Lepisosteus oculatus: one gene and its partners. The protein of the gene in region 1 interacts with the protein of each later gene in a pairwise test. Links are inferred from orthologs where the notes say so. Each region holds a gene or a part of one and is shown on either strand. Other genes may lie near its edges.

What was found. The genes of interacting proteins can lie anywhere in the genome.
Region 2: the proteins of nudt21 (region 1) and myosin light polypeptide 6 interact in binary tests that used the Homo sapiens proteins (3 or more experiments, as listed by UniProt). The two-hybrid records come from large-scale screens. The link is inferred for Lepisosteus oculatus from reciprocal best matches to the Homo sapiens genes NUDT21 and MYL6.
Region 3: the proteins of nudt21 (region 1) and cep126 interact in a two-hybrid assay, tested with the Homo sapiens proteins (2 studies listed by BioGRID and IntAct). The link is inferred for Lepisosteus oculatus from reciprocal best matches to the Homo sapiens genes NUDT21 and CEP126.

The regions. Positions count from the first base shown.
Region 1 is NC_090715.1:903,401-910,741, reverse strand, and holds the start of nudt21 (cleavage and polyadenylation specificity factor subunit 5), read right to left. Parts: upstream 3,036-7,341; 5' UTR 2,822-3,035; coding exon 2,703-2,821; intron 2,125-2,702; coding exon 1,924-2,124; intron 1,399-1,923; coding exon 1,335-1,398; intron 951-1,334; coding exon 846-950; intron 54-845; coding exon 1-53. Other genes in the region: gpr190b (leukotriene B4 receptor 1), read left to right, coding at 5,040-5,996. UniProt on the Homo sapiens protein: Component of the cleavage factor Im (CFIm) complex that functions as an activator of the pre-mRNA 3'-end cleavage and polyadenylation processing required for the maturation of pre-mRNA into functional mRNAs.
Region 2 is NC_090696.1:19,646,830-19,654,530, reverse strand, and holds the start of myosin light polypeptide 6, read right to left. Parts: upstream 3,029-7,701; 5' UTR 2,950-3,028; coding exon 2,947-2,949; intron 2,404-2,946; coding exon 2,376-2,403; intron 2,150-2,375; exon of another isoform or gene 2,122-2,149; intron 1-2,121. UniProt on the Homo sapiens protein: Regulatory light chain of myosin. Does not bind calcium.
Region 3 is NC_090700.1:8,341,079-8,349,112, reverse strand, and holds the start of cep126 (centrosomal protein of 126 kDa), read right to left. Parts: upstream 3,029-8,034; 5' UTR 2,678-3,028; coding exon 2,649-2,677; exon of another isoform or gene 2,645-2,648; intron 1,532-2,644; coding exon 1,412-1,531; intron 1-1,411. Other genes in the region: angptl5 (angiopoietin-related protein 5), read left to right, coding at 4,367-4,441, 5,830-6,007, 6,147-6,250, 6,910-7,003, 7,589-7,689. UniProt on the Homo sapiens protein: Participates in cytokinesis. Necessary for microtubules and mitotic spindle organization. Involved in primary cilium formation.

The DNA.
Region 1 (7,341 bases):
AACAGCTTCTTGTGCTCCTTGGGTTTGGTGATGTGAGCTGGAATATATGGATACTGCAAAGCAAAACCGAAAAGAGAATGTGAACAGACTACCTTAGTGTGGGAAGAGAAGCTGGTACAAGAGTTACAGCAACTCAGGGGAGTCAGCACACAACATATACATACACAGTGCTGTACAACACTTATAAAACATCTGTGCTTCCAGCAGTCTGTGATTGAATATGGATAGTAATAATCCTCACACAAGCCAGAAAAAAAACTAAATAAGAGACCGTAGTAAAACGTTACATGGAAAGTAGATCACTTTTTGTTTTCTTAATCCTTCCAGTATTCACAGTATTCTTGTATAGCTGGAAGTAGAAATAAGCTACTCAGCCATGCTACTGAAGCTGACACGCTGGTTTCTTTCGAGAAATGACTGGATGAGTTCTTCAGATCAATTATCTACAAACAACCAAACGAGTTTGTAGGGCCAAACAGGGGTCCTCTCACTTGTAGGGGCCATGCGGTGGCTTTGTGGCTCAGGATCTGCGCCTGTGGCTGGACGGTTGCCGGTTCGTATCCCGCAGCTGCCAGAGGAATCCTATGCCGTTAGGCCCCTGAGCAAGGCCCTTAACCCCAACTGCTACAGGGGTGGCGTATAAATGGCTGACGCTGTGCTCTGACCCCAAGCTTCTCTCCCTGTCTGTGTGTCTTATGGAGAGCAAGTTGAGGTATACAAAAAGTCAAATTCCTAATACAAGAAATTGTATATGGCCAATAAAGTGATCTTATCTTGTAACCTTCCCTATGTTCTCAGCTGTACTTTGTGTGCATGTGTGTAGGCACTTAAACTGAAGGACTAACCTGTGGAGGCTCAAAGTTGGGTCGCCACCAATTGCCTATGCAGTCATCAATCACCCAGTCCTGCTGGACTCCGTCCTGACGTCCCAGAATCTGGTGATTAAAAAACTTTTAAAAACTAATTGCATGTCGGCCAAAAAGCAGCAGCACAAGTCTTTTAATGAAACTGATGAAAAAACACAGTAAACACTCACACATCATAAAAAACTGAAAAGAAAGAATGGATTTCTCCATTTACACTGTGAGAAGACTCAGTGTGTGTAGTGCTACACAGCAGACAGAACATGGATGTCACAAAAGAAAACACAACCTGCTTATAAATCAGTGCTTAGCTATCACAGCCTCAGAAGCTAACCTAAATGAACTACCACAGATAATGGATTTTAAACATCAAGCAAAATAGTGTACTATGAGAATACCAATCAAACAGAAAGAAACCTGTGTAAAGAGATACATTTTTGATAGACAAGAAATTCTTTACTAAATCAATACCTCTGTCATAAGGCGCTTGAGTCCTTCCACTTCATCTTCCCCTGGGTTTAATTCTCCACCTGGTCTGAAAGACAAAACAACTCAATGAGCCGCAGTAAAAACAACACACACCTGCAGCCATTTCAGACATAAGAACTGCAAGCAGGAGTCAGTTGAGAGAAGCAGAAAATTCCATTTGAACACAAGCCAAGATAAAGACATCAGGACTCAAGAAAGGTTACAAACAAGGGGTCATGTGGTCCTGCTTGCTTGTGTGGCTGCTGATCAGATGGTCCTGGAGTGCACACGAGGAGCCGGCCTGAACCACCTAGCTTACTCCAACTACCAGCTCCTGCACTTGTCTCCTCCTTCATCCCACCTGACCCTGGTTTTCCTCTCATTAAGCTGTCAGTGATCCCTTGGGCTTAATTCTGTCAGCACCTTAGAGCAGTCTTAATTCTTCACTTCACCCAGAATGCCTTGTCCTGAGTTAACTAGCCACCTAGATAACCATGGCTTCCTCTCCTGGAGGTCGTCGTTCAGCGTTCCTACTCTCAAGCCTCATAGCCAGGAGGTCACACACGCCACCCCAGCCCTGCTGGATACTCACAGCTTGAAGAAGGTGGTGCCCAGCTGCAGCAGCAGCACATGCGGCAGCCTGTGCTCGTGCACGATCAGAACCCCCTCCACCGTCCGCCGCATCCCGATCTTCTCAAACTCCTCTCGCATCCGCTGGAACCGCGCCGCCACCGAGCTGTCCTTCTCGTACAGGGGCTCCTTCGTGCCAAAGGTGTAGTTGGTCAGCGGGTACCTGCAACAGAGAGACTCAGCGAATCAGCTCGGTGACAACACCCGCTGCAGGAGCCCAGAGAGGGAGCCCCATCCAAGGCTTCAGCCTGGTAGTGTACTGGTGCTGCACGACATTTTCAGCACAAGTGTTCCCTGTGACCCTATACTGGATAAAGAGTGAGAAAATGGGTGAACTGTAACATCATACTGGCAAATTTTCTTTGTTGACTGGCATTAAACTGGCCGCCCTTTAACGCACAAGACTCCTACAGCTTGAGAACTAATTTCCTCGTCCTGCAGCCTTAAGTCTTAAGTCTTTTTCGTCATTTACCACAGTAAAGGGGAACATTTTCAAAAGACACCAGCTGGCTCATCCATCATTTAGCCTGGCCACGCAAAGTCGTTTCATCTCAATACTGAGTTTCTACGCCATCGTTCAGACAGAAAGCAAGTTCAATTACAAACTTAAGTCGAGATCTTTACAGAAAACAGCATAGCCAAAAAAAAAAGAGACAAATTAAATACTATAAGATTTTTCGTTCAGCAATGCTGTGCAAGATCCGCGACAAACAACGATAAGGAAGTAGAAACAAGGCTCACAGGTTGATGGTGCGCTCCAGGGTGAGCGGCTTGGTCGGCTGCGGGATGTATTTGTTTCCGAACTGAGTGACTCCGCGGGGCCAGCCGGTCTGTGATCGGTTGGGAGGCACGACCGACATGATTCTCCTAAAGCCTGTTAATTCCCACAAAAAGCAAAACGGTGGTAAAAAAAAACACCGCGAAAAAATAAAGACTAAGGACCCTTTCTCTAAAGAACTCTGTAAATGTAAAACAAAAGAAAACAGAATTGCACCGAACAAATAAATTCCGGCCACAATCACACACACTCCCTCCACTATCCACAAACAACTACATCCGGGACAACAAAGAGGCCCGTTTCCGTTTTACGACAGACTCCGGCTTTGCGACAGAAGACGTCGCTGTATGGCTACCATTGTATGATAATTGAAATCAAAACAGAAACGTGCAGTAATGAATGTGATGTGCGTTCTAATAAGAATACCGCTGTTCGTTTGTTGAAGTTGAATTTGTAAAACCAGACAGGATTATTTGTATTTTCTAATGAAAGCATCTTTGAGAAGATTTACCTCTGTTAAGTAGCAGCAGTGGGTTCTAATGGGACAGTAGTGGTTAATTTAAATGACATTTTTATTGAACATGCTTTTTGGTAGATAGCTTTATCTTGACGTGATTGACTGTAAATGGCACCTTGAATGTGTTACTCTGGGATATGGGCACGGTATTTGTTTAGTGTTTAATGTGGCAACCCTCAATGGGGTGTTATTAGGGCAAGAAGATGCTGCAGAGAGCTGATGGTTCTTTGCCCAAGTTCTGATCAGTGATTTAAATAACATAATAATTATAATTCCTTACACATATTTAGAGCTTTTCTACACACTCAACTCAAAGTACTACACAGGTAATGGGGATCCCTTCCACCACTGCCAGTATGCAGCCCCACCTGGATGATGACAGCAGCCATAGTGCGCCAGAACGCTCACCACACATCAGCTATCAGTGAGGAGGAGAGCAGAGTAATGAAGCCAGTTCAGAGACGGGGATTATTAGGAGGCCATGATTGTTATGGGAAATTTGTCCAGGACGTTTGGTTAACACCCCTACTCTTTTCAAGAAACACACTGGGATTTTTAATAAATACAGAGAGTTATGACCTTGGTTTTACGTCTCATCCAAAGGACGGACCCTTTTTTTTACAAGAAAGACTGCAGGGTGACCACCTACTGGCCTTACTAACACCTCATACCTCAGGCTCATACTTGCTTAGTTTCAATGGCCTGTCAGTGATGAGTTGCAGGGTGATATGACTGCTGGCTGTATGTTATCCAGACCGCTATTCATCCACCACTTAAGGTTTCTAGTGAACAGTAACCAAGTGAACACAGACTGTAAGTGAATTAATTTGTCAAAATAAGCATTCCCCCTGTTTCCACCAGAGGAAATCTGGTGCCTGAGTTACAAGTGCTGTCACAACCCAAATGTCGCTGGCTGAAAATTATGCCTTTCTTTTAATGGGCACTGTTAAATAATTACATGCATACGATATTATCTTTCAAATTAAATGAAACATTTTAAAAAGAACAAAAATGTTGATTCCTGTAACATACTGTACTGTACTGAAATGTGAGACGTACACACACATTTCACTGGCCAGAGACAGCTTCTGCATGTCATGCTGGTGATTCTTATGAAGGGTGAAACATGGCTGTTGGAAGTGATATTATGCAAAGTGAAGTAGGAATTGAAGTCTGTTTAGTTGGTTCTGTTTGTTTAGTGCTATGAAATGGTGAGAAGCTCATTAATGTTAAATCCCAGACTTATATATGTCCATTTTCATCCATTAATTTTCAAGGACTATTCAGTCGAGTACTGTAACCTGGCAGACAATGGACACAAGGCAGAAAATACCTTGGACAGAGGTTGCCAATCCATCACAGGGCACTCCAACATGTATAAGGGGCAGGAAACCATTGTGAACACCACGCAGAAGGTGCCCCAGGCCAGATTCTATGTCTGTTATATGAACTATTTTATATTGTCACTGCTAATCTCTCAGTGTGTGCAATAAGGCTTGACTATATGTGGCAATTTCAGAAGCAAAGATATACTTCCCTTTTCAGATTCTGGGCATAAAAAATAATATTAAAAAATAATTATTGACTCTTCCTGGTCTCTGCTTTGGAATAGAAAAATTAGTTAGCTTAAAAATGTGAAATGAAATTTCAGTTTATTTTCAAAAATGTAAAGTTACCATGTTTATCTGTCTGAGCTGTTCCGGCTCCTCATTGCATAGAGGTTTTTGCCAACTTCCTCAGCCAGCTGACTGTCAGTGTCTCTCAGCACTCTGGTCTTCTCACAATGCAGCAGTCCAACAGCACAGCCTCTAATCACACCCAGGGAGCTGTGGCCCCCAGTGTTGTCCTGGGGCTCTGCGTGCTGGTGGGGGTCCCCGGCAATGCTGTGGTGATCTGGGCTTTGCTCACCAAGCTGAGGAGAGTCACCTTCACCGTGAAGCTCATGCTGAACCTGGCCATCACCGACCTCCTCACACTCATCACCCTGCCCTTCTGGATCTACGCCTTGCTGGCCACCTGGGTGTTTGGAAGCGGCCCATGCAAGTTCCTGTCCTATATCATCTACTGCAGCATGTACGCCAGCGTGCTCAGCGTCACCCTGATGAGTGTGCAGCGATTCATCATGGTTCTCTACCCTCAGGCCAAGCTGAGGCTGCGCCACAGGGGGGAGAACGCTGTGCTCCTGGGGATCTGGGCCCTCGCCAGCCTCTTCGCCAGCCCCATGATCAAAGTCCGGGACATGGTGGAGGACAGCGACTTGCAGAAGATGTGTTTGTCCAGGACATACAGCTCAGACAGCGAGAGAGTGGTGCTCCTGTTGCTGGAGACACTCCTGGGGTTCGTCATCCCTTATTCCATCCTGACCACCTCTTACATCTGCCTCACCAGGAGGGTGAAACAAACTACCTTCGCCAGCAGCACGAGGCTGGAGAAGGTGGCCACTCGGATCGTGGTGGCCTTCTTTGTCTTTTGGCTCCCCTGCCACGTTTTCAATGTGCTCAAAGTCTGCGCCATCCTCCTGAAGACTTCCAATATGGACGCATCTGCAAAGCTGGAGAGTGTGTGGGAGGCAGGCAACGATGTAGCAGGATCTCTGACGTTCCTCAACAGCTGCCTCAACCCGTTCCTGTACGCCTTTGCCTCACGTAGCCTCTGGAAAGACGCCCAGGAGAAGGGTGTGCTCACAGCGCTTTGTCTTTGCAATAGTGACCATTTCAGCCAACAAGATGAGATGACCTAGTACATCCAGGTGCTTCTCTGCAGTCTGTTTCTGATCCGCTTCCAAAATATTCAGAACTCAGATGCTGAAATGATTTGCATGGTGTTTTCACAAGAAAACAAAAGATATATAGAAATTGAAACAAACTACGCACTTTTACACCCCTCAACAAGGAAATTAGTATGCATTTTATGAAAACAATATACTCTGTGACATGGAATAAATTGAGCTAGAGCCCGCTGTACCCTGCAGGTGAGTCCATGCAGATTAAAATTGTTTTCATTTACATCAACAATAAGGGCTTCAGTTATTATACTAAGTGTTGTAGTTACTGGCTTGCATTGACTGTTTTTTTTTAGTTTGATGTTAAACCCTCAGTTGTAATGTGTCTCATTTGGAGGTTTAGTAAAACAAAGGTAGTAAATCTTTTGTGTATTTTAGATTTCATGATTACTTTTTATTGAAATAAATCTTAAGCTAAATCTTATGTTTAATAGAATAGAAACAATTGAAACAGGAAAGCTAACAGTAAAGTATATAATTCCAGTGTTAAATATTACTGCTCCATTAAAGAGAAATTAGTTATTTAAGTAGATTCTGGATAGATGGCACATTTAATTCTCTTACAACTTTGTCTTTCGCCTGATTTGCTGGCTGCCTGAGAGGTGCTGCTGTTAAACTCTGTGTGGATATCTCACCACACAACAGAGGGGTGAGACTGAGTGCCTGGAGCAGGTTGGTCTGTGTAGACACTTTTTTTGCTGCTATCTTTTGTCTTAACCACTGTTAGAAACTAGACCAGAAGTAAATGAATAGGGTTGATTGTGTTTTTTGTTTCCTGCATTTAGGCTTTGACTGATTTGGGTTGGATTGCTAACTGATTTCCAAAATCCTGTATTGTTGTCTTGAAAACAATTTGCATATCGTTTTATCTTTACATTTGCAAGTAACTGTAACCTGAGCAAAAGTGAATTAGATCTTTGTTGCTTTTTCCTCATATTTTTATCATGTGATTTTTTTACCTCCTTCAACAGATTACATTTTTTCCTCTTCCCTTTTTTTCTTTTTTGAAAATTATGGAAATCTGGACTACAAGTTTAACAATATTAGTGTTACTAACGATGGAAGAGGTTATTGTTTTTACTGCTGTTAGTTTCCTACCAGCCTAATACATTATGAACTGTCTGTTTAATGAGCGAAAGGAAAAAAATACAGCTATCAAAGATATTAGCATTTAAGATGAATGTCTTCCTGAATTGTATGTTCCACAGATGTACCCCATGAAGGAATAAAACATATACTGTATATATTTCTCCCTCTACATTACCTTTGCCTACTGCCTTGTCTCTCTCACACCTGAAGAAGG
Region 2 (7,701 bases), on another chromosome or scaffold:
GCATTACAGACTGAATACCTATTGCAGCAAAAAAACAAACCTCTAAGGACAATGAAAGGTGACATCTACTGTACTTTTAATCCTTTATTTCTGGAGTTCCCAACTCAAAAGCTAAAAGCTAAAAGCTTCAGCCTTTGAGAACAGTTAAAAACACACTAATTAAAAGGGGACCTCTGACATGTTCAGGGACTGAAACCAATTAAAGGGGCTAAAGTGAATGCAGATAGGAGGTCAGTCTCTGGTTCAACTGTATAATGGATCAGATGGCAAGATGGAAATTAGACACGAGGGTTCAAAGGACCAAGGCAGGGAACTCGACTTTAAGCCGCCTGGTATTGTAATTCTTACAGTCAATGGCATACAAATTGAGACTACATCTGTATACTATAAGGCAGCAATCCAAGAGATGGGCCAAACCCAGGATATGAACCTACAGCCTTCCACTTGGGCGTTCAGAGCCCCTGACCTCCGCTCCAACATCTCAAAAAGAGCGAAAGACAGAACTAGAGGACATACTGGGTCACAGGCCTTCCCGGTTTGTACTCCACTCCATTACACCAGAAAGGGCACAAGGCTGGTGGAGAAGAAGAAGCCTCTCGAGTTTTCGTTTTAAATCTTGTGCAAAAGCTCCCGTCGACTGGGAATTTATGATAAAGAGATGAAGGAGGGAGGGAGGGGTTAAAAAAACCCAAACAAACGCTGAAATACAAAAACGGGATCATCAGGCGAGGACCGTCTCCGCAAGGGAGAGGGTCGGGAAATGCTAAAACGCCAATTAAGGAATATCCCGGGGAACGCGCAAGGGACTGTTTGGGATTTGGGAGGGAGAGAGTCTGGAAAGACGCTGCGGAATTTCCTGACGTTGCCGCGTAATGGTGTTCGTTTTTCCTGCCGGCAGGAATGCGGGCTCTTCCCGGGAGCAGCCAGGACTCTCTTCACCATATAAGGCGCGGAGAGACGGAGGGAGGCAGGCAAGGGTGTTATCAGTCACCATCGCGGCTTCAGCACACCAGAGAGGAAACCGGCCGAAAGCCGTCCAGGAAACCAAAAAAGGAGATGGCCGTTTAGACCACCACCCCTCAACACACACACACCAAAAACCAGATACTAGCCTAGAAAAAAAGCAGCTTTCAGGCAGAAGGACTCCCCATCAACTTTAATCTCCGACCCGAGTAAGAAATTCACATTTCACCGGATACTCGAAACACTTTCTTAACCATTTCCTGTTCTGTCTTTCTTGTCGACGGCGAAACACGCTAACGGGACTTCGGAAGAAAAGAGAACGACAAAGGGGCATAAAAGCGCTCAAACAATCGTTTTCGGAGCTTTAACCCGAGTTTCAAGTGCAATACAAGTCCCATGACACGCTTTTCACACAGCATTTTACAGCTCTGTACTACAACAACTTTACCGTTGCCAAGTACTTCCGGTTTAACTCTTCGGGTCTCTCTCCCGATTTTTCTGACAAGATGCTGGGGGGGAATTACAGACCGACAAAACTGACAAGCTTATTTCAGAAACGAGCGCCATCTGTATATTTCAACGCCCTGCTCGGGATAGTAACAGATTAGTCCATATCCGGCGCATTTCCTCCCCAAGAGTAATCCACCGAAGGGAGGGATTGATAGACGGCCATTTCCTCACACTGCTGCAGAGTCGATCATTACACATGCGGGCTAGCAGTTCACCTCTATAAGGACATCTCAAGTCAGTATTTACACATCTGACATTCACAGCCTCCTGGCCTCAGTCTGACACCGTGCCTTTCCATTGAAAGGTGGGACATTGCGCACACTCACACCCAAGCCTGGTAGTCGCCAGTGCGGAATAGTAGCAGGAGTCACAACACGTTAATCGTTTCGCGCATGCAAAACCCAGGAAAAAGAATTTCACAGTCGCCCTATTGTTAGTTAACACTTCAACCCCATCAAACGTCACGCCAGGGTTTAATTCAGCAAAGCCACACACACCAGACCCGACTTCTGCGCTTCCTGTGCAGTGAGAGCACTCCTGCATGATTAAAGGCGACGTTCCCGTGTCAGGCATGAACACATTCGCCGGCCTGTACTTATCTCTAACCTCAGTCTGATCACAACGCACGGCAATGCATTGACAACTTACCGTAGATCTGTGCTGGTTTAAACTCAATCTGCAAGTTGTTTTTTTTTTTTTAAAAAAGAAGAGAGAGAGAGAAGGAAAGGTGAAAAGAGGAAGATGTGATAGGACTCAACAGACAGATGAAGCAGTAAGCCGGTGTCCAGAAGCTGAAGATGAGACAAGAGAACCGTCTCTCCTGACGGAAAAAAAATAACTTTCAGATCCACAAAACCCCGAAGCTCTTTCGACAAGAAACATGTAAAAGGTAAAAGACTTACCAAGAATCTGGTCTTCTGAGAAGTCAGACTGTTTTATTAAAACAAAAACGGAGAGAAAACAGGGACACAAATCAAACACTAATACCAAATGATAGAAGCATTCGCAACACCTCCATTGCGGATACAAGGCTAATTTCAGGCTAATTGCGGATATAGGACTCCTGGTCACTGATAACAGAGGGAGGGTGTGGGGTTGGGGGTGTTATTAAGCTGTATAAAACAACTTCACACCCCCGGATACCTCACCTATCTACCTCAAACGCAACCGGACGAACTTACGAGATGTATCCGGGACAGGTCCGCCTCATCCCGCTTCAAATCATATTCAATCCCCAGGCTCGGCGAGACGAGCGGTATTTCATTAATCGTGCCCCAGACAAGGGTAGCCAACAGCGAGCATTCTTGAAAAAAGGCCCTCCCACAGCCAGCTTGGGCTACACTGTCACTTCAGCACCCTTCAACGCAAAACTAGAAGAGCCTATGCTTCTGCTTAACCCTGCATCCCTGCATCCCGATATACCCCTGTTATATCCTGATCCGCCTGTGTAAGACACAATAAGAAAACACCCACCATTTTCGCTGCCCGGGCTGCTGGAGTTCAGAGTCTGTCGGTCGACGGCAGGAATGTGGGCCGGTCCAGGGCGGCGGGCCTGTAATACCTACTCCTTGCGTCACTGTTTACTGAAGCCCAGCGCCGCCAACCAATCGCAGCCCGGCTCAGCGGGCGTTGGCTTCATTGGGTTTACCGTAGTACCCCATAGTGAGGCGCACACATAATTATAACGGGGAGGGGACGAAGATTCACGAGGAGACGCTGTAGTTTGTAAACTTCAGCAGCCGCTGTCAAAATATTTCTGCGGCTTACAAAGCGGTCGTACAACGTATCTAAAATTAAAATGCATATAACCATATATGAATATCGGCCTTTATTATCCTCAATGATCATTTCTCAAAATCAGTTTAGAATTTCGTTGCACCCATGGATTCATATTTACGGTACGGAGAGAGGTCGGAGGCTGATGAATGACCTCTGCTGACTGAACCGAAGGGGTCCCCTAGTGTATACAAGCTGCAACTACACGACAATAAAGGAAGAATTTTTAAAAAGAAGAATTCCTTATATATATATTGAAGTAGATCAGGTGGGTAGCTGCGTCAGCATGCGTAGGCTGCAAATGAACAAGTAATAGGTTTATTCCACGCTGAAAAGAGAATAAAGAAAACACAACCTGAAGAAGGCTCCACAGCCGAAATGTTGTGTTTTCTTTCTTCTCTTTTCATCATGGAATAAACCTATGACTTTTTCCCATATATATTACACGTATTTTCTGGACACTCCACTCAAAGCACTGTACAGGTAATGGGGATCCCCTCCACCACCACCAATTTATATGGCTGCTGGTGATATAGCCAGCAGCCATATCACCCTGCAACTCACAACTGGCAGCCCACTGAAGCTCAACGGGTGTGAGCCTGGTCAGTACCTGGATGGGAGACCTCCTGGGAAAAACTAAGGTTGCTGCTGGAAGAGGTGTTAGTGGGGCCAGCAGGGGGCGCTCACCCTGTGGTCCACGTGGGTCCTAATGCCCCAGTATAGTGACGGGGACACTATACTGTAAACAGGTGCCGTCCTTCGGATGAGACGTAAAACCGAGGTCCTGACTCTCTGTGGTCATTAAAAATCCCAGGGTGTTTCTCGAAAAGAGTAGGGGTGTAACCCCGGCATCCTGGCCAAATTTCCCATTGGCCTTAACCAATCATGGCCTCCTAATAATCCCCATCTATGAATTGGCTTCATTACTCTCTGCTCTCCTCCCCACTAATAGCTGATGTGTGGTGAGCGTTCTGGCGCACTATGGCTGCCGTCGCATCATCCAGGTGGGTGCTGCACACTGGTGGTGGTGGAGGGGAGTCCCCATTACCTGTAAAGCGGAGTGGAGTGGAGTGTCCAGAAAAGCGCTATATAAGTGTAAGCAATTATTATTATTATTATTACAGTGCTTTGAGTGGAGTGTCCAGAAAAGTGCTATATAAGTGTAAGCAATTATTACTTAGAAATTATTCACGTGCAGCACCCCCTGGAGGATGCACCAGTCTGCTCGCCACATACCAGCTATCAGTGGGGAAGAGAGCAGAGTGATGAAGCCAGTTCACAGATGGGGATTATTAAGAGGTCATGATTGGTAAGGGCCAATGGGAAATTTGCCCAGGACGGGGGATAACACCCCCTACTACGTTCTAGAAACGCCCTGGGATTTTTAATGACCACAGAGAGTCAGGACCTCGGTTTTACATCTCTTTTGAAGGACGGTGCCTTTTTACAGTATAGTGTCCCCCATCACTATACTGGGGCATTAGGACCCACATGGACCCCAGGGTGAGCGCCCCCTGCTGGCCCCACTAACACCTCTTCCAGCAGCAACCTTAGTTTTTCCCAGGAGGTCTCTCATTCAGGTACTGACCTGACTCAGACCTGCAGAGCTGCACTGGTTGGTTTCGCTTTGTTTTTAAGTACTATTTTAACTATTTTTACATATATTTTAAATCATTCTCTTTTTAACAATAGCCTGGTTAGCACCAAGTATTGCAGAAACTACAATAAATGGGATTGGAAGAGCCATAGTTTCAGTGTTTCATTGAAAGGGCTGGAGGGCGGAGTGGTGGCACTGTAGCTAAGGATCTGCACCTATGGTTCAAATCCTGCGGCTGGCAGAGGAATCCTACTCTGTTGGGCTCCAGAGCAAGGCCCTTAACCCCAGCTGCTCCAGGGGTGCTGTATAAATGACTGACCCCCAGCTTCTCTCCCTGTCTGTGTGTCTCATGGAGAGCAAGCTGGGGTGTGTGAAAAGACAAATTCCTAAAGCAAGAAATTGTATAGGGCCAATAAAGTGATCTTATCTTATCTAAATATAGGTACAAGTTTCATCCATCTGTATCCGTTGGGAAAAAAGGATCTCAAACGTTTTTAATTAGCGCTGAATATTAATTCAAAAGCAATCAACTTTCTTTTCTGAGAATTAATTGAATGCCACTGCGATCAGACCGTCCCTGATGCCCCGTGCCGAATCAGAACGCGCAGGACCTGCCAGCCACCCTCCGGGCCTGGAGCTGGGGAGGACTGGCAGGGAAACGGAGACAGCCCGACGCACGCAGACAGAGATGCGGCAGACGCACTGCAGGACGGACACGCAGGAGTCACGCACACAGGCACAGAGAGCCCCGCGGGCCAAGCGTCAGCGCCTGCCTGCCCGCGGCTGGTTGTCCTCCCAGCAGCCGTGTGAAGGCGATGTGAAGCCATACCCCCAGCGAGAGATGGCCGCAGCCGCGACAATGGCGTGACGGTGGCAATGGTACTGGGGGTGGTGTGGGGCTTGGGGGGGGGGCCCAGGCTGGCAGGGATGCAGCCCTGAGCCCCAGTGCCCCGGTGCCCCAGTGCCAGGGCTACTGCTCGGTGAGGGGAGCGGGACGGGGCAGAGGGGCGTGCCCCACGACAGAACCATTGAGAGACCCTACCCGGAACCACAGCCCCCGTCCGATTGGACACGCTAGCCTCGGTCACCTCACTCATCACCCGGGTCCCCGGGCAGCGCTGGGTGGTGGTTCGGACTGGCAGGGAGCTCCCGCATGGCTCACCTGCTCTCTCCTCGGCCAGGTTGCCAAAGGCCCTCGTGCGAGCTGAAATGGCGGACGTCCAGCCCAGGGAGCCAGCAGTCGCCTGGTGATGTCATAGTCTACCCTCTAGTCTAAGGGTCTTTGTATGATGACATCATTCTGTGATCAGGGAGCTGAGCGCAGTACTGGCTGGACGGTTCCGTGCAGACAGAGCAGCGCACAATGCACAGTACAGACTGACAGTGCAGTGTAGCCAGTCTGTTCATAAGAAAAGGAATGTAAGTTTTTGAGTAAGTGTACAAAACAGCATTTGTTTCGGGACCAGGAGAAATGTAGCCACAGTGCAGCAGACCTGCTGGTTCAGACCTGATGTCGTGATGTTGTGATGATGTCATGATGTAGTCAGAATAGAAAGGCTCATCCACAGTTACCATTTCACCAGAAGGAAAGTACAGAAAATCATACAAGAGGCACAATTCTGCAACTAGGCCCATTCACCCTTTACCCCATGCAGCTGGGGTGCTATCTATGTGGAGTTTGCATGTTCTCCCTGTGTAAATTGCAGAGCAAAGAAAATAGGAAAGTCTGCTGATGACCCCTCCCACCCAGGTTACTGTTTCATAAATGTCCCTCAGGAAGACGTTACATCTACTGAAACCAGAACCAAACAGCATCTTTCCAAGGGCTGTCTTTATGCTTATTCAGAACCCTAGTTCTATGTGCAGTGTCCTAACGCTGTCTATTGTCTTCTTTGTGTATGGCTTATGTAGAATGTCTTTGCAGCACCGGAGTAAATTCCTTGTACATGAATTGTGCTGGGTGAATAAAGGTGGCTCGGATTCGGATGTTCATGTGGAGCGTATGTGTGTATCCTGCCTCGTGCCTGTCGCTCGCTGGGATAGGCTCCAGCTCCCCTCCTCAGACCCTGAACTGGAAGAAGCAGGTAGAATATGGATGGATGGATGAAGAAGCTGTCAGAATACCCCGTGCCCTAGACTAGCGGTGCCCAGCCCTGGTCCTGGCGCCCCACACACCTGCTGGCTCTCAGGAGATCACTGAGCCTCGCTTCATCTGAGGAGCTGCTTCGCTGGAACATTTGCCTTTTGTTTCGACTCACAAGCTTGGGATCTTATTTCACTTACAAAATACAAAGGGTTCGAGCTGAAACATGTTTAAGAGCCGAGAACAAACAGCTCCCGTGACTCCTGTCATCATTATCAAGTCAGTGAAGGGCTTGATTGTGTAACTGAGGGCTCGGCAGTCAGAAAAACCAGCAGGGGTGTGGGCCACCAGTATCAGGACTGGAAACCCCTGCCATAGGCTAAGCCATACCACCTCCATTCAGCATGTTTCAATCCTTACTGAGATCAGAGAGCCTAAATCCTCCCTCTTCACCCACCAGCTCCAGCTGCAGCCCGAGAGACAGCTCACTGACTGACTGTACACTGGAGGAAGTGAACGACTTGTTAGCTGACTCCTCTGCACAGAATACAGGAGCCATCTGAGTTGATAGCATGTTTCCGATTGTCCAGCCTTCAGCCTGGAGCCTGGAGCACATCATACTGCTGTAGACATGATCACCTGCAGAACAGGTCAGTCTAGCACAACAGACTAAATGATCTAGAGCTGGTTTTCACACCGGTACCTATTCAGTGACAAAATGCGCTGACATCATCACGGGATCATGACATCATCACATCACGCACTCACGTCT
Region 3 (8,034 bases), on another chromosome or scaffold:
TCAGTACAGAATGAAAGTAAATACTAAACTGCAACTACGACAAAGATAGCAATTTGAATCTATTCTTAGAAGCTGCACAAAAATACTTCATACATGTCTTCTGAAAGTAATCAGTTTGTAGTATTTAGTCTACTATCATTACATACAGAACATTTTTTTTTCTACTGAACCTTTTATTTTAATCTCTTTCCAGGAGCTGCTAAGATGCTGAGATTTAGTAGGTTATTAATTGTCTGAGATTTGTGCTTTACCTTGGGATGAACTCATTTTAAGCAGAACACTTCAGTCTAGCCAATCTAATCTTGCCTCTTATAAATTGCATTACCGTTACCAATTAAGAAATCTAATTTCAGCAGACGAAATCCTGCTGGCAAGTGAAGTATTGAATAACAGGATCTCTCTTTTTTCCTTCAAACCATTTTCACTGACTGCTACAACTGTTCTGCATAGGAAAACTACACCATCAGCTGGATTGGTGGCAATGTACAGCCTCATAATTTAACATTATGGGATTGGTGCGAAAACATACTTTTTTCTTATATGTTTATGTGATATTAATGCTTATCTTTAGTGCTATAATAAAAAAACTAACAATTCCAGTGCTTCCTGCAAACACATTAAATGTGATTGTCAATTTCTGTTCAAGTTGCCTCTTTTCTGTTAACAGATGTTTTTTAGTACAACTTTACAAAAAGTTTTCTACATGCTGTATGCTGAAAAACAATGAAAACAGTCATGTGACTTCGGAAAAATGCCACGTACTCAGTATTTGATACCTGAATTGGATTAATTGCCAAAATAAAGTGATTAAGAATAAGTATCAATAGCCCTTCAGAAAGTAATTAACAAAAATGCTTCAATTAATGCAAAGAAGGTGAAAGATACAGCCGCGTCTTGTTTGAATAATGAGGACTGCTGGCTGATGTTGGCATCGCTGTCCATGAAAGGACTTGTTAATGTGTACAGTAGCCAGCTTTTTCTCCTGATCTGAGTCCCACAGAACACTTGTGGGAATTATTCACCCACACCATCAATAGAAAAAAACACAACTGGCCAACCTTCACCATCTGGCTGCATGTGGTGCAACATCCCATGCACAGTCTATTCACAACTTTCAGGTCAACACTGCCAAGATTGTCTGAATGCTTAGGGAGGTCAAATACAATACTAACTTTGTAATGTCTTCATTTTGACAGTATGTTTAATAGTGAAATGGTCTCATGATTGATCAGCTCTGTATGTAGTGCACAGTTTTTGAGTTCTTGTTATGATATATATTTTATTTAATCCAGTAGATCATAGTGATGCATTTCTTTTCTGTATGAGTATAAATTATATATTTTTGTGGATACTGCAACTGAATTTAACCTCTTAAAATACAAGAAAAAACAACATACAGTACCAAACATACCTCCTACGTCGATTGGTTTCCAAGGAGAATTTTCGAGCACGAGCTCTGCATGCCTTCTGTTCCTCAACCAGAACCTGACGGTCATCTTTCAACGGCCGTTCTAGCTCTGTTTTTATATTTCTAACGTCAGACAACGTTAAGGAATTTCAGGACATGGGGGTAAAAAGGAGATTTTGCCTTCACCAGTTGCGCAGTAGTCCAGAAGCACATGCACATTAAAATATAGGCCTGTCAAAGAAGGGTCTAGCATAAAAGTTAAAAATAAAAACCCACAAAGAGCCAGCCTTTAATGAGCTGAAAAGGGAAGCTTTTGTGTTAATAGTACACTACCAGTGGTCCATCTTTATTTACCACAAGGAAAACAATAGTCTGCAATACCTAGTTTCTAAAACATTTGTTGGATTACTGCAATTTCAGAAAGTTTCCAATCTGAATTAAGTACTAGGGGGGGAAAAAAGGAAAATTGTAAGGTCATTACATTAAATTAATTATGAAAAAACTGAAGATAAGAATCCATCCATGCTATCAAGTGACTGAAAACCATTCACAAAGCTGGGGAAAGGCTTTTCTTCTTGCTTGTTTGTTGTGCTATGATTGCCAAGTGCAGCGGTCACACAAATTATGCCACTCCCTTTTTACAGTGCAGTATGGTGGTCGCTATAATGGCAAAGGAGGTAACGGAGCAGACAAATGTAAGACACTTTGAAAAGCAGCAATACTGTATACAGGTATATATATCTAAACATTTTTTCCTTGTTTTGTAACTTAATTGTAGTTGCTATACCTCTTACCTCTAAATGATCTCTGTCAGCCAAAGGCCAAAATACTCAGATCAGATTGCAAAGTGATATGACTTTGACAGATACACATAGACTCATACACACACGCATATATACACTGGCATCAATAGCGGGTGAAGATACTCATAAGGAAAAATACAAATAAATTAGCTAGCTAGTCCAAAATGAGGAAAAAAAGTGTAATACAGTAAGTGAATATTCTGTGATGACTGTCTATCAAATTTGAAGCACACTGCCTGAAAATATTTGGTCTTTTAATGAATGACTATACAGTACCTACACCAATAGTAATTGAAGGTGGTTAACAACAACAACAACAACAACAACAACAACAACAACAACAACGTCATAAAAAACATTTCTAGAACTAGGATCTTGAGGTAGCTTCTAGCAAAAGAAATAGACTTATAACTAAACAGACATCGATTTAAGGATACGAATAGGAGCTGGCCCTCTGGACGTGCATCCTGAATCCCAGGATGGGACGACGTTGAAGAGTTCTCCAAACTGGTCACAATCTTCATTCAAACCAAGTTCAGCGATCGTACACGTATTTTAAGAAACGGATTATCCCCAGCCTGTATTCCGAAATGCGCTAGCCGGCTGTCCTCCGCTTCACGCCAAAATAAACCCACAGTTTGTGTGTGAACGAAAACGTTGAAACTGCGGCGCGATGTGCCATTGTAGTCAAGCGCTCGTTATGATCTTCTGTTGCTTCTCATTTTTTTTCTTATTTCCGAATTCAGCGTTGACAATTTGACTGGGTTTTCCAGCTAAGTAAAAGTTTTGCTCTGCTGAACCTCTAGATTAATTAGCCCCGCCATGTTGACAACCAGAGACGCCGCTTCCTTGACAACGGAAACTAGGCGCAGGTTGAGAGTGGGGCCGAGAAAAGGAGGAAACGACGGACGGCAGGAGAAGTCCGGCAGATTATAGCTGTTATCGCAATTATAATTCCTATAATAATTATTTATTCTTATAAATAATTATTTATGTTTACCTATCCTACTACTACTTTATTATAACTGCAATAAACATGGACACAATTTGTCGATTTTACACACTTGATGATGATCAGCGTACTCTTGTGTTTTAGGGTTAGGGTACAAAAAAACTAAGGCATAGACTTGCTTGATCAAATAATTTAACTGACATTTTAATTCAGAGCTCCTCCCAAAGAATAACAATTTATGTTTTGCATTTGGGCAAATGTGTGCTACTGTTCTGAATTTCTGATGTCAGCTAATATTTCATGTCTTTTCAATAATTACGATCTTTTTCTGATTTCAAAATTATTCTAAAATCCCTTCCAAGGCACAATATTATGCCTTTTGCTTCACTGAGCCTGTTTGCCACTACTCAGTGAAACCTGTTATTCACTGTTGGGTGTGTGGTCTTCCAATAGGCTAACACTTCAGATTTGTAAATACTGTATGAAAACTTAAGTCAATAAACATACTAGTCTAGCAAACATATTTCTGTATGTTGCATATTGTACGTAATTCTTTGCAGATGCAGAGTACATAAAATCTCACTTTACAATGTGCTCCCCCTGGTTTTGTCTATAAAACCTGAAGGGCAAGGAATTTATGTGGAGCTCCAAGTGTGAACAGATGAACCATACTGCAAAATACTATGCACATTACAGACACAGAATTACATTCCATAAGCATCTTGTACATACCAGTAGTTGTAGGCAATCTTTCTTCAATACTGTGGAATTTATATACACTGTATTTTTTACTCTATTTTTAGGAAAATAACAGCAAACTTGTGCTGCTTTCTAAAGAAGCTGTTAAAGGGTTAAAGTTACATTTTGCAGAAATGTTATTGTTTGTTTCTTGGTAAATCTGAATTAAGAAACAGTGCTCAACATTTTTGTCTAGCATTTCGCTTTGTGATATGCCTGTGCAATACAAAACTAAACAGTGCTAAAAGAACACAGCAGTGCACAATATTTAAATTGATTTGACACAGTCCCAAATCATATCCTGTCCTGAACGCTTTCAGCAGTTGAGAGAAAGTCATTTGTTTTGGCTCTTTGCTGTTGTGCAGATGCCAGCAGAGCGTCTTGAGTTCCTGAAGCTGTGGTACCGAGGGCTCATGAGACTCAGTAAACCGACCAGCACATTAGAAAACGTCTTCCTAAAGGAAAATGAAAAGGCTTTTCTTCCCAGTTTTGTTTGTATCTGTTCTCCATGACATCCAGACAACATCGACCAACTCTGTGGTATGTATTTTTGTTAGATATCTTAAAATTGCTATTATTTCCTGTACGGAAAAAAAAAAACTGAACCAGAGCACTTGAATTTAGTTCTAAATTGAATTTCGGAGTTGTATGTGCAGTATTAAAGTGTGTTTTAAAGTTTGCATTTCTTAAAAAACACAAGATGCATGGAACTGTTTGGTAACATAGATGAGCTACATACATACATATATGCATCCACTGTACATGTTTAAGGAGACATCTGTGCTGTAAAATATTTTCAATCCCTTTTTACTTTTTTTCATTCTTCAAGACGTACAGTATGAGTGAATAGAAGGGACAGATTCACATTCACACTTAGGGTTGCTTCTAATGATTTAAGCGTTAATTAAATGCACTCCTAACAGAAAGCAACCTTTGAAGTTTCATTGGATTTTTGTACATAGAGAAACAGGAAACAGCTTGCATGTCTCTGTTCAACATTTGATAATTAATTCCAACCTTAACAAACTTCAAATTCTCCTGGAGTAAAGAGGAGAAACATAACAGTTGTTCTTGGTATGTCAGCCCAGTCTGTAGTCTAATGCATCTATAATTGTTAGATATTTGTGATCTGTTAGATTTAAAATTAGGAAGAATTTGCCACAGTATTAACTATGATCATTTATATGCAAAACACATTGGGAAATTCTAATGCAATGTCACCATTAAGAATCTACCTAAATACTGAAGCTAATCTCCTGAGAAGAAATTGATTGTTTCTGCTTCCAATGTGCCATGCTAATGGGTTTTCCCCATTCAAGTATTGAGGTCTTGTGGTTTATGGGGTATATTCTTTAAAACAAAATAAAAAAAAATGTCAGTATGATGTTGTGGGTGACATACAGAGATTAGTTATCCTTGTTTGCTATTTGAGGAATGAGATATTCAGTTCTATAATAAAAAGATAAACACAAACTAGGGGATACAAGAAAATGCATTCCTGCCTGGGTCCTGGCAAAAACGTATTCTTGGCCAGCAGGCAAAAAGTACAAATATAAAACAGTGTTTCCAGAGACATATTTAAAGATACAGCTCACATGAGGAACTAAGTAAAGCTGAAAAAAATATTAAATCCACTTATGCACTGGCTAAAAAAATAAATAGTCTACCTTCTGATATTTTATTAATGTCTTAGTAACAAAATGAAAAGAAATAAAATGAAAAATGTGTTTCATCAGTTCATTATTTTTGGAGGTACATAAGATTTAGCTAATCAAAAACATAAGAAAAAGAGTTCACTTGTTTACATTTTAGATTAGCGGGTAACTATAGAACTTTATAAAACGCATTGGTTCAGATGACTTAACATAAGCCTATGTGATCCCGATCAGTTTGGCATGATTGAAAATGTTTTCTTTGTCTGCTAAAAGGAAATCAGTGAAAGCAGTTCAGCTATAAATCAGTCTACAACGGCGAAGGGAAAATACCATGGTGAAAACATGAAACCCAGACTCTCCAAGCCATCAAGAGAAAACAGGCATGAGACCTGCCTTACGCAATGTGAAATGTCAGCAAAGCTCATGAAGGAGGAGAAACACCTGATGTGCAGTACGTACACTGAGGACTGTGGACTTGACTTTCTGTTTTTAAAAGTAAAGTGTACACGGAATGGGTTTGGCTTATATCCACGACCCGTATACCCTGAATTGATACCACAAATTAATGCAGTTTTATCTATCTTTTTAAGGAAACTTACACCATTCTCTTGTTTCCTACACGAGGAGCACAAGGAAAATGATTAGAGGCATGATGGAGGATCACCAGAAATCACTGGAGTTTCTTTCAAGCCAGGCAAGCTATAGCAATGTACATTTTCTTGCATGAGATGTGTGGCAGTTAGGAATGGATAACAGCCTCAAAAGAATCCAAACACAGTTGGACTATTTTCGTGGAAATGTAATGACTTTTGCCGTTTCAGAAGGTACTAGTGACATATGAGAGTGTTTTTTGAGCTTTTCTAGTTCTAAAACGAAAACTAATTTTTAAACAGAAAGCAAAATGTTGACATTTTTATTCAGAGCATTCTTACCTTTTGTATTTAGAGCTCTAGGAGGAGGAGGAACATGATTCCCTAAAGACTAAGAGAGCATTTAATTCCTTTATACCTAAAACATTATTCAATTGTGGAATAGTGTTTTCTGGTAGGGATCTTCTTCTTGTTTTATGTTCATTATGTTTATTTATTGTTTTTTTGGGGGGAAAAAACAAGTCTCTACAAGTTAATTGCCTATTATTTTCATCTTATGGTAGGAGAAGAGTTCTGATTGAGCGATGTTGTTAAATGTTGTTTTGCATTATGGCATTGTACTGTTGTTGTTATTGTATAATCATTATAAACATGTAAAGTGTTTATGAGTTCTTGATATGCCCGAGAGGAATTTCCTTAGGGGCAATAAAGATTAAATTAATCAGTTTTATATACACCTTGAACTTTGCTTTTATTTTCACAGGTAAGGGAACTGATGAACAAAGTTCTGACACTCAGTACAGAAGTCTTAAAGAACAACATTGAGCCATTTCCACATAAGCCAGTACAATCACATGGTAAGGTCATACATTTACCTCTCTCATGTTAAAGCCTATTTTTTTGTCTTTTCTACACTGGTCACTGATGTATAAAGCCAAATCATTGCCAAAGCTCTTGACTATGAGTGTAACTACGACTCCTAAACTGGTACCAGAAGGTATTTGTATTTGTGTTGGAATATTGATATAATTGTTGTGAGCTATGGAACTGTGTATGTTATTATTGTGTAAACTGGCTTTCCCAAGAGACTCACGTGGGGCCTCCAGCCATAAATGTATATACTGTATGTATAAATGATATACTTACTGTATCTATCTGTATATACTACATTTCAAGAAGATGACTGTAACGATCTTTTATGAGAAATTATCCCTAAAGGGATAATTTGTGTAGTGTTTTTGTTAATTAAATTATAAACTTAAATAGAGAATAAATAGTGAATATAATAAATATATGGTATGAGAGGCAAATCTAAATGTTATTAAAGTGGAAAACAAAGTTAAATGATTGGTTGATATTTTTTGTCCCACAGGTGGAAACATCTTTCTGTGTCATTTACAGTCTGATTCTGCTAATATTTTCATGTTGATTACTGTTTCTAGGGCGTGATTGCAGTGATATTATAGACACAGTACAGTCCATTTCCAAAACTCCAAGTGGTATTTACATAATCCAGCCAGAAGGACTTGACTATCCATTTGAGGTAACAAATAAACTATGTTGAAACACACAAAATGACAAAACAGACAAAAACAACAAAAATGTATTGGTTTATTGGTTACAAATTCATTTGAGCCATCTAGCCCATTTAAGCTGTTAGTAGTTAAATGATCCAATTATCTCATCCAGTTGTTTCTTGAAAGAAGCCAGGGTATCGGCTTCAATAGCACGGCTGGGAAGTTTGTTCTATAATCCCTCAATCCTTTGGGTAATGAAGTGCCTTCCATTCTTAGTTTTAAATGCACTTCCAGGTTATTTACATGTGACATAAATTATTTTAATCTATTTTCTATTTAAAAGTTAGAGCCCTAAGTTAACAATTATCTAA